Linked DNA regions of Lytechinus pictus. Each later gene encodes a partner of the first gene's protein in a complex. Links are inferred from orthologs where the notes say so. Each region holds a gene or a part of one and is shown in the gene's direction. Other genes may lie near its edges. The genes, in order: U4/U6 small nuclear ribonucleoprotein Prp4-like, U6 snRNA-associated Sm-like protein LSm7 and small nuclear ribonucleoprotein G-like.

Region 1 (3,753 bases):
TATACAAGGCATGGCAACAAATAGTCAAAACTGACTAGTTTGCATATTCAAAATAACATTAACACCCCCCCCCCCTCACACACACACAGACACAAACAAAAGAGGGGGAGACTGACGGACACTGCACTGGCTCGTTTTGACTTACCGGTACTTTTATTATTATTTTTTTTTACTTATGCAATTTGTTTGGTTTTCTTTCTCTAATGAGTATTCTAGATAAACTTACTTGTTCATCCTCCTGCATCGAGGCTGCTAAGGGCAGCCCGTCAGCGACACGGGCTATCATCGTCATCAAAACCATCTTGAGAAATTGTTTATGATGAAAAAGAGAAAGGAATGGATGGATGGACTGGTCAACAAGACAACTGCAAGTGCAACTGTTCCTCAGGTTTGCCTACAGCAAAATCAATACGTGGAGCTAGTGATGCTGAACTAGGTTATACAGAGATCTTCTAAGCTCTCAGCACGTCGATTCCCGATGAGCGTGGATAGCTCTTCTCTTACTGCTTCGTTAAAACCTTGAGAAATGTGTCGAATATAGCAAGATAACCAAATGGTATACCTGAAATTCAATTGAAATCGAAATTCCAGGGTGGTATAGGATCTAAAAAGAGATTCATACGTGTACCACAAAATTAGCCTTATCTCAAAACGCACAGCAGAAACTTTGAAGATGAATTATCAATTTCGAATGCATAAATTGCATTTCTCAAAGATTTAATTTAGAGAACGCAACTATTTTGGAAGATCTTCAATTAAAAAATAAATAATACAATCATAGACGAAGTAAAACACTTATAACGTGCAGTTTTATTGAATTTTATAATACTATGACGTCTGGTATTGACCATGAAATCCGAAGAGGAAAAAGGTAAGAGAGAGTGGTAATGAATAAAATATCAATTTAAGAATCGTATTTCCAAGTATTAAAAATAAAATACGGGTCAATGATTTTTTTTATTTTTATCAAAAAAAATAGTTTAAAAATAATATTTTTAGACTTTTAAGTTTCAAATTAAAAAGAATTGAATTTATTTAATATATTTGAACCCCAAACATATTGTTGAAATTCTTTAATTGCAAAATAAACGAACAGTCAACTTTGTAGTGGCTATCTTCAACTACTTTGACCGACGAACTTCGAACGTGAGGAGCTTTCTTATATTTCGTATTACGTATTTCCCCCCTATTGATTGATAATGTACGTATTAAAATGAATATTTCACTGTTTTTTTATGTTAAATTTTCATTTTTATTCAATCAATTGAATAATGTCAAGTATATAATAAGTCTTGCCGTGGATGTGTGGTGTACCTGACTCAGCTCTGAATTGCGTAATGTATGTCCCACGTATTTAAAATTGCGTGGTAAAAAAGTTCAATTGAAGAAGGTGAAAATGGCAGAATGCATCTGATCTGGCAGGGCCGGGGCGGTATCACTCACACTAATACGTAACCCAGAGAGCTCCCGCCCGCGCAGCGGGCGGGAGCCCAGAAGCTTACCGTGTATTTTACCATTGTCACCGGACTAGGGTGATTTATGGTCTAAATATTTCTCAAAATGAATTGTGAAAACAGAAAGTATACAATCAATTACCACGATTATATGGATGAAGGTCTAACGAGTGGCAGTTTCCTGACATCTGGGCACAGACTGGAACCTCAAATAAACGAAAAGTTCTCTCCTCTACCCCAGTCTCGATCGGCCATTTTGTTACAATTTTTAACAAAAATGGCCGATCGAAACGGGGGTAGAAGGAGAGAACTTTTCGTTTTTTTGAGGTTCCAGTCTGTGCCCAGATGTCAGGAAACTGCCACTCGTTAGACCTTCATCCATATAATCGTGGTAATTGTATACTTTCTGTTTTCACAATTCATTTTGAGAAATATTTAGACCATAAATCACCCTAGTCCGGTGACAATGGTAAAATACACGGTAAGCTTCTGGGCTCCCGCCCGCTGCGCGGGCGGGAGCTCTCTGGGTTAACTAATACGAGGTTCGTATATATTATACGAACCTCGTACACCGGACCGTGTTTGACCGTAGATTTCGAACTAGTCGGCAAACATTGCTTCATTGCTGAAGTAATATTTGCCGAAACTCCTTCTCGCTACGCACCGGGGCTCTTTCCGGTAAGTAGCAATACATAACAAAATTATACATATGATATTTAACTCATTTCATTTAAAAAGAGCAAATTTCGCTTACCTCGGCCTAGCAAGTGACTTCGTTTGTCTCTTCTACGGAAATACAAGGAAGCCCGTTGGTGGCGCTAATAAATTTCACAACCTTGATTCAGCTCCTCGGTAATTTTATAACTGTGTCTAAATTCTTTGAATGCGCAATTCTTATGATTAATTTACTAATTATGGGCACCAATAAATAAAATAGGGTAACGCGCCCGGTATTCGGTCACCTCCCAGAATTCGGTCAGACAGCTGTTTCAACAGCTGTTGAAAAAAAAAAAATAATGCATGAGCCAGAAAACTTTGGCATATCATGCAAGAAACCAGCACTTCCAGCCCACCTCAAAAAAAATGTCGATTAAGACAAGCACACAGCCAAAAACTAACCTTAAAATTGACCGCGTCGGGGGGGTTTTGTTTACTTCCGGGTTTCTTAGCTATTGAGTTAAGCGGACGCAGCCTCATGTAAACTCTTGTGACGTCATGACTTCGTGTGTAGGTGTAGTGAATTTGGTACGAGTGTGAAGGGGAAGACTTGTGTGTTCACCCAGTCGCAGCGAATATGCAACTAGCAGTGAAACTGATGAGTAGCGAGGGCTTATACATTGCCCCTATAGTGAGAGGGCGCTCGACCAGAATTCGGTCGCGCAACATTGAGTGTTTTGCCGGTGTGTTTGTAAGGAGGGAAGAGCGTGCAGATACGTTGCTCCTCGCAAGTGAAACACTTCTCTTAATCCATTTTTTGTTCTGTTAGGCCTAAATAAGTTTAGAATATATCTAAAATTATTTTTCATGAATAAAAATCTTAAATCAAAGATGTTTATTGCCTATGAAAATGCAATTTGAGCAGGTGAATGACGATGGTGACGAAGTTGGTAAATTTGACCAAGGCTCATTTTGATTGCCTTTGCGTGATTGAGTTGAAGTCTACATCTTTCTCAAATGATAGGGCAAATGATATGCCTACGTTAGGCCTAAATAAGTTAAGAATATACCTACAATTATTTTTATTAATAAAAATCTTAAAACAAAGATGTTTATTGCCTGTGAAAATGCAATATGAGCGGGTGAATGACGATGGTGACGAAGTTGGCGAATTTGACCAGGGCTCATTTTGATATTGCCTTTAACGTGATTGAGATTAATTCTTAGTGATTTCCTTTTTGGCCTCAATAGTTAAACTGTGTTATTTTTTTAATGTTATCATAGTTATTTTCAATATTATTATTAATTTGAATAATACATCCGGTTCCAGGGATGATGGACCCCCCAAGAAAAAAAAATTAAAAAGGCTCTTCCACGAGTGTTATTTTAAAAGACGTCATTGCTAGATCAAAGGCTGGAAAATTGCCCCTCAATTTTGCCTGTCCCTCACATATCAGAGGTCTGCAGCTAATTTTTTTGGTCGTTTTAATTTAAAACAAGGGGCCTTTTAATATTGTCATCATTGCTAATAACATCAATCGAAAGTGGATGACAATGTTGACGAATTCGGTTAGAATTATCAGTTACTGTTGTGAATTCAATTGGAATTCAGTTGCCCGAGTTAGGCCTAAAGTGATTTATA
Region 2 (3,753 bases), on another chromosome or scaffold:
TTTTCTCCTTCCATTATTTTCTCTTTTTTTATTCTTTCATCCCTTCATTCTTTCTTCCCTCTCTTTTCTCCCCAATTCTTTCATTCTTTATTTTTTTTTCCTTCTTATTCCTTTCCCTTATTCTTTCTTTCCCTTTCATCCTTCTTCCTTCCTTCCCTAGCTTCCCGATCCCTTCCTGTTTTTCTTCTTTTATTGTTTCTTTCAAAGAATGAAGGAAACATTTATCTTTCCGCTCCTTTAATTTTCTTACTTTTTTTTTTCTTTCTCTCCTTTATTTCGTCTTTCACACATTAATTTTTGTTCATCTTCCCTCCCTTTCTTTTTCTTTCTTTCTATATTCATTTCAAAGAATGACGGAAACCTTTTTTCTCTCTTTTATTCTTTTTCATCCTTTTATTCTAACTTTTTTTATTTTTTCCTTCATTTTCCCCTTTATTTTTTTTCTTTATTCTCAATTAATATCTTTTCCTTCTTTCGCATTTTCTTTCTCTCCTTATTTCTTTCGTTCACCCTTCCTTCCCATTCTTTATATTTTTTTCACAAGTGTATAACACTGTACATGTGTAGCCTTCTATGTTGATTATTTTGTCGATTGTCCCGTATTTCATTTTGTGAAATCTGGTCACCCTGCTGCCCCCTTCCCCCGAGTTTTCCAGTCCATTATGTCTTCAGCATCACCTTGTTAATTTTTCGTGTTCCCATATTCCTTATTTGCCTATTTTCCTCTTTATTTCCATTTTTCATTCATCGGTGAGTAAATCAAGTCTCTATAATTCATCACATTAATTTTCAATAAAAAAGTGGAATTCATCTAGAATAATATTAATGATAATGCCAGACAAACCAAAATGGGGGATCTATCATGAAGCTCTAAACCAAAGAGAAGAAATTACATTAGATTCATTATCATTTCTTCCGGACCTAGGCTAGTTTGTCGACAATCAATTATGATAATAGCGATGATTGCCAAATAATTGCATGTGCGCGCAGAGGGAACTAATCAGCCCCCCATGGCTGACCTTTGACCGCGCGTATCCTGTTTTCAGTGCGCGTGTCGCCACTCTGTCTATTGATAACTCTGGAGATCAGCAGATCAGTGGTTGCTGCCCTCTACGTTCGTTGGTAGTACGGTATCGGTATTGTACAGTACGGTATACGGTATATACGGTGCAATTCGCATAAATTATAACATGAATCTTTGTACTTGGTGCTAACAAATAAGAGTCGTGGTGAAAGATCCCAAGCAACATCCATGGCAGTAAGTTTTAATAATGATTAATCTGATTTCTAATATGTAGTATCAATGACAATTTTTATGGTAATCCTTAGTTTTATGGCATAGGACTGTTAAGAGGACATAGTCTGGAGGAGGAAGAAAAAGGAAGAATAAAAAGTTACTCGGCCTCACTTGTTCACTGCAACCATCCCTGCCTGTGGGGAATCTACAGTACAGGTACCGTAGGTCTATGGCATGCCAATGATGTACAGAGCACACACTTCAAAAAATCATTAAAATATCACTTTTGTGACCAAAATTACTAATTTCTAAACAGTTGCAATTTATTTTTCATTAGTAACTTGGGAATAATTTTTGTATTCACTAGGGCGCTCAAAACCTTGAATTCTGGGCATATTTTTGTGTACGCCCTCTATTGGTGGAAAGTAATATGGCAAGAAAATTATATTTTTTTTATCTCTAATTATTTTTATCTTTAATTAAGAAAAAAATAATGTAAAGAATCAAATTTACTTAAGGGCCAAGTTGTATGATGAATAAGTGTAATGGAAACTGTCAGTGTAAAAAAATCAAGCATTTGTCCCAAAGAAAAAGAGAAAATAAGCCAAACATTGCCACCCTTATTTTGCCACACATGGAGATATAACTGAGAACAAGGTTATATCATAACCTTGTTCATTGAATGAGTGCTCGGCCTCAGGCTCTGCTCAGCCAGCTCAGTCAGCTCAGTAAGGTATCGTAAGGGCACTAGTATTCAACCCGTTTGGAGAGTTTCCTCAAATATATAGAAATATGGATTCTACCTTAATTTCAGACCTGTGTTATTTCCAAGACCAAATGCTGGTTATTCTTTTTGCGTTATTTTTTTTTTTTTTCAACCAGTCGACTGTGTGTGCGGGCGATCGAATTATACGGCAATGGTTTTTGGCACTAGTATTCAACCTAGCAACGAAAGATGGCCCTGTCTCTCAATCTGTCCTTGTCCCATCCAACTAAGGACTAGACCATTTGAGATGAGACCGAACAGGGAATTAGTCAAAGCCAGAGACTTACATAGATCTAGATCTAGTATTGCAGTCTAAACCATTTTTAAATTTGCTGTCTATCATCACTAGGTTGAATACTAGTGCAATTCAGTGCAAAAGGTCATTGCCGCATAATTCGATCCTCCGCGCATACAGTCGACAGATCGATAAAGAAAATACCGACAACAGATTACCCTGGAAATAACAGAGGTATGAAATTAAGATAAATTCCCTATTTCTAAATATTTGGGGGAATTTGTAAAAATCTTTGAATTATGCCGGGTTGAATACTAGTGCCCATACGGTACGGTAGCTCAATATAACGTGTCTGTAACCCAGAGAGCTCCGGACTGCGAATTAAGCCAAGTGGGCCGGCCGCCGCCGGGGCCCGGAAGGTAACCATACTAGCTGGCATAGCTATAATACGTCGGCGACTACTAGTAGCAAGAGGGTAGACTCAATGTTTTGGGTAGCCTGGAAGCTCCTAGAGAGTAAAAGTCATTTACTGACGTAGGCTTACTCTCCATGGAGCCTGGGACGGGATGGAATAGGCCAGTGACAGTGTCTTGTAGTCAAGCCAAGGGCCAAGGCTCAAACCAACGAACGTAGAGGGCAGCAACACACAAGCGTGTTGCTCTAAGGAAGGTCAACTCCGCTCGAATTTTGTGACCACTTTAAAAAATAAGGTGGTGTTTTGGGAAATTTGTCGAGTTGATTTTTTTTCATTTGTTAATTTCAAATATTTTTTAATGAACAATTATTAGATCGGTTATTCTGGGTATAAATATTAAAAATATTACTTTCATTTTTAAAGAAAATATTTAGCTTAAATAATCATGATTTTGACATTTTTCCTCATTTTGGAATATTAAGCCTGTGACGAGGATACCTCATATCTCTTATTTTCTTCTGCTGAATTTCGCTGCACCACTAATAAATGCATAGACAACCACCGTAATAATCGAGGTCATTTTTCTGGCCTGGGTGCGCCGAGTCTGGGCCGGTCGCGCAGCTAGCTAGTGACGTTGATGATGCGCTGGGGCTTCAGGCGACTCGTCATAGATCTAGCAACTTAGACAATGACATCTAATTTGCCTGGCCTGATTTGAAGTGTAATGGCTTCAGGGCTGATGTTTATCAACGATGATTGTTCAAGGTTAGATTTCAAATTTTAAATGTCATTTGACTTTTAAGTCTATAAATCTGAAATAAAGGCGCTGTATCCCCGAAATCCGGGTCTAAATTTCAACTCTGAGTCCGAGACCATGGCATGGACGGCGAAAAAACAACCCATGCATCGGATGCATTGTATTGGCTGCGCGCTGCGCTGCAGCTGCACTGTGATGATGGGTTCAGCGAAGAGCTCAGAGAAAATAAGGTGGTTATATTCAATCCCGAAATGCTTTGCGAGTGGTCACAAAATCGTCTCGACGCAAATCACCTAATACAGCCGTCTGGTGAAATCGCTGATAACAACAATCACCGATTTGG
Region 3 (3,753 bases), on another chromosome or scaffold:
CGTAGTTACGCCACTGAGCGAGGGACATCATAAAATCTTTTATTTGAATAGGAAATGTGCAAGAACTGTTTTCTGAAAAATAGGTGAATCTTCAACATGTCACAACTGTCTTATTTTATAACGGGTTCGATGAAATTTTCAGCGTTATGCTTTTTAATATTTTGTTTATTTATTCAAATCAATATTTTTCTTTGGTGGCGAACTTGACCTTTATTAAAAGTCCGTTTGAACATTGGCAAGGGATAATCTTGAGCCTATACTGACGCACACAAACAACCCAGCACAATGCGTTCTGAATCTGTGGTACGACTATTATGCTGTTCTTTACTCATCTTCCGCACATTGTACAAAATAATTAATTCGAAAATATACCTGGCATCAAAATATTAAATTGAACAGAGCAGGGGCGGATCCAGGATTTTCCAAAGAGGGGCACATTTTCCCGAGGAAAAATTTGACAAGCAAAAAAAAAAAAAAGGATTTCAACCAAAATTCAAGGATATTTCGTCCACGAAAATTTTTGACAAGCAAGAAAAAAAAATTAATTTTTTTTTTCAACCATATAGAACATTTCGTCCACGGTCTTCACTTTTAAGGGGGGTGGGGCACACTTGTGTTTTAATAGCATCTTTAAATTACAAATTTTAATTGTGCCTCTCGAAAGGGGGGGGGCGCACGGGTCGGCTGTGCCCCCCCCCCGGATCCGCCAGAGGAACAGAGACCCTGAGAGAGAGAGAAAGAGAGATAGGCCTAATTGACAACCATCTTCTTCTTATGTTGGTTTGAGTGGCGAGTGTGTGTGTGTATTTGAGTTTTGTCAGACGTGTATCAATCAGATATGATTATTTACGTCTGGGACCGACCTTTAACGTCACTATCCGAAAGACGTGACCAGGGCTCGAACCTCGAACCTCTGCATCAATTTGTAACTTCCCCACAGCTTGGATTACAGGCGCACGCCACAACGCCTAGTGGTTGATTGCCGATACCATACAACGAAAGAAAAAAAAATAGTCTTTTGACTTCACAAATTCGGATCGTTTCTGCTTCGCCTTTTCGGAACCCAAACTGAATCTGATTTAAATCTTCAGAAATCTTTGCGATCTTCTCACCAAATCATGAGTAAAGCACATCCACCAGAACTCAAGAAGTATGTTTATATAATTTCTCGTTTTCAAGGAGTATATTGAAGGATAGCCCATTGTGTTGACTGTTAAATCTTTGCGCTAGGATAGCTGCTTCAGAATTAGCGTTTGGCGAATTTATGTGCGCTTGCCTTGATGATTATTTAGATTGGAAATATTTTGTAATATAATTGCATGGAATAATCCTTATAAATAGTGGTAGAGTCTAGATGCTACTCCGAAATGTGTTCCCATTCGTTTTTTGTGTTATGAATGTGATGTTTTCTTCCTTTTTCACACTACGCGTCTTGATCATGTGGGGCATCATTTGCATTTTTGATGGAGTTGACGGAAAGTCCCATTCATTTATTTTGATGTGGTGCGATGGGTAACGCGCGTGCAGTAGGAGGGGGTCCATTGACATTGTGATTGTCCGGACATTGGCGCTAATTGCAGTTTCGCAGCTTTCTCCACACAAGTTACTAGAAATCCCAGAAATTTGACATGTGGCTGTGAAGATGTGCTAGCACCAATGCAATGGAGCATGCCAGTCAATCATCAATGACAATGTAAACATGTTGATTCAAATTAAAAACAAGTCAAGTCAGAAAACTTGGATAAATGGCAAGTCATTATGCATTTATGGATGGTCGGGACTCAGGGTGACCAGATTTCACAAAATGATATATGGGACAATCGACAGCATGCTGCACGAGCGGATCAACAAAGAAGGCTACACATTGTTAGACTTGTGAAAAAATATTTAGAATTGGAAGGGAGGGTGAACAAAAGAATGAAGGAGAGAAAGTAAAGACGAACGAAAAGAGATGAATTCAGAAGAAAGAAAGAAAACAATGAAGGGAAATGAAAAAAATAAAAAGAAAGTTAGAATAAAAGAGAAAAAAGGTTTCCGTCATTCTTTGAAACGAATATAGAAAGAAAAAAAAAGGAAGGGAAGATGAATAAATGTGTGAAAGACAAAATAAAGGAGAGAAAGGAAAAAAGAAAGTAAGATAAAAGGAGGAGGAAAGAATGAAGAAAAACAGGAATGGAGGGAAAGAAAGAATGAGGGAAAAGAATTAGAAGGAAAGGAAAAAAATAAAATAAAGAATGAAAGAGAGGGAGGAGAGAATGAAAATAATAATGCAGGCCTCTACAAAAAAAAATTCATCACTTGCCCTGTCGGGCAAGTGATAAAAAAATTTGCTTGCTCGATAGAAAAAACTGCTTGCCCGATTTTTTTTCAAAAATTCTTTTGCTCTTAATTATTCTTTTCTGTCCTGGCTGAACTTGATTTACTGGCGCTGCCCTTGGCATTTCTTTTTCTTGTTCAAGTTGTTCTGGCCTTCATTCTTGGAAAGAAAGAAGAAAACAGGAAGGAAGGAAGAAAGGGAAAAAGTATAAGGGAAAAGAATAAGGACAAAATGAAATAAATAATGAAAGAAAGAAAGGAGGAAAGAGAGGGAGGAAAGAATGAAGGGAGGCCAGAATGAAAAAAAAGAAAATAACGGAAGGAGAGATAGAACGAAAATAAAAACGAGTGGAAGGGAGAAGAAATGAAGGAAATAAAAAAAGGAAATGCAATAAAGAAGGCAAGTAAGAGAAAGAAGGAAAGAAAGAAAATGAACAGAGAGAGAGAGGGAGAAAGGATCAGGAAATAAAAATAGATATGTAACAAAAAAGGGCAAGAAGGATAGAAAAGAAAGAAAGAGGAAAAAGTTCAAACTTCAAGCAATTAAAAACAATCCAATCATATAACAAAAATCCTAATGATATTTGGTGTTTCTTTTATATATAAAAAAAAAAAAAAAAACTAAAATGTTTTAGAAATGAATAAAATACGGGACGTCTGGTCCTGGCCGAGTCAGTCCGAAGCTTGCATGCATTCAGCGCGATCTAGCTCGAGACTCGGCTGGCTCGATCGCGATCGCTCGTGTACGTCCGTACATGCGCTCAGAGGGCGAGAGAGGGGTTTCCCCAGCTAGCTCCTTCGTCGATTAGTAGCGCATGCGCACATTGTAGTTTAGAAAGTAAGATGGCAGCCTCCATCGAACGGGACGCGTACCGCTGGCGATAAATTGTCGCCTTTTGTTGGTAAATTGGCGCTGATTTGACATGTTTCCACTGTTTTTTTACTGGTATGACATTGTATGAGAGATAATTGGCCGATAATTGCAATTTATCAAAAAATTATTAAACTTTACTGTCAATTTATCTTGTTCATTTTCAAAACAACCACTTGCCCGATCGGGCAATTGACTTTGAGAAATGCTTGCCCGCACGTCATTTTCACTTGCCCCGGGCAAGCGGGTTTGTCGCGCCCTGATAATGGAAGGAGAGAAAGAACAAAAAGAAAAGGGAGAAGGAAGCAAAGAAAAGTTTAAGGAAAGGAAGAATGAAGGAAATAAAAAAATAAATTTTGAAAAAGAAGGAAAGTAAGAGAAAGTGGGAAATAAAGAAAAATGAACACAGAGCTAGAGAAAGGATCAGAGAAGAAAGATAGGAAATAAAGATAGATGGAGCAGAAAAAGGGCAAGCAGGAAGGATAGAAGAATGAAGAAAGAAAGATATAAAAGAAAGAGGAAAAGTTCAAACTTCAAGCAAACAAAAAAATCCAATTGTCTAACAA

Evidence for each region.
Region 2: U4/U6 small nuclear ribonucleoprotein Prp4-like (region 1) and U6 snRNA-associated Sm-like protein LSm7 share a complex: the UniProt entries of both Homo sapiens proteins name them as parts of the precatalytic spliceosome. The link is inferred for Lytechinus pictus from reciprocal best matches to the Homo sapiens genes PRPF4 and LSM7.
Region 3: U4/U6 small nuclear ribonucleoprotein Prp4-like (region 1) and small nuclear ribonucleoprotein G-like share a complex: the UniProt entries of both Homo sapiens proteins name them as parts of the U4/U6-U5 tri-snRNP complex. The link is inferred for Lytechinus pictus from reciprocal best matches to the Homo sapiens genes PRPF4 and SNRPG.

What each region holds. Positions count from the first base shown.
Region 1 is NC_087259.1:20,214,643-20,218,395, forward strand, and holds the start of U4/U6 small nuclear ribonucleoprotein Prp4-like, read left to right. Parts: upstream 1-1,057; 5' UTR 1,058-1,146; exon of another isoform or gene 1,147-1,201; intron 1,202-3,753. Other genes in the region: vesicle-trafficking protein SEC22b-like, read right to left, coding at 227-301. UniProt on the Homo sapiens protein: Plays a role in pre-mRNA splicing as component of the U4/U6-U5 tri-snRNP complex that is involved in spliceosome assembly, and as component of the precatalytic spliceosome (spliceosome B complex).
Region 2 is NC_087247.1:61,096,739-61,100,491, forward strand, and holds the start of U6 snRNA-associated Sm-like protein LSm7, read left to right. Parts: upstream 1-1,138; 5' UTR 1,139-1,252; coding exon 1,253-1,258; intron 1,259-3,753. UniProt on the Homo sapiens protein: Plays a role in pre-mRNA splicing as component of the U4/U6-U5 tri-snRNP complex that is involved in spliceosome assembly, and as component of the precatalytic spliceosome (spliceosome B complex).
Region 3 is NC_087256.1:12,712,846-12,716,598, forward strand, and holds the start of small nuclear ribonucleoprotein G-like, read left to right. Parts: upstream 1-981; 5' UTR 982-1,118; coding exon 1,119-1,150; intron 1,151-3,753. UniProt on the Homo sapiens protein: Plays a role in pre-mRNA splicing as a core component of the spliceosomal U1, U2, U4 and U5 small nuclear ribonucleoproteins (snRNPs), the building blocks of the spliceosome.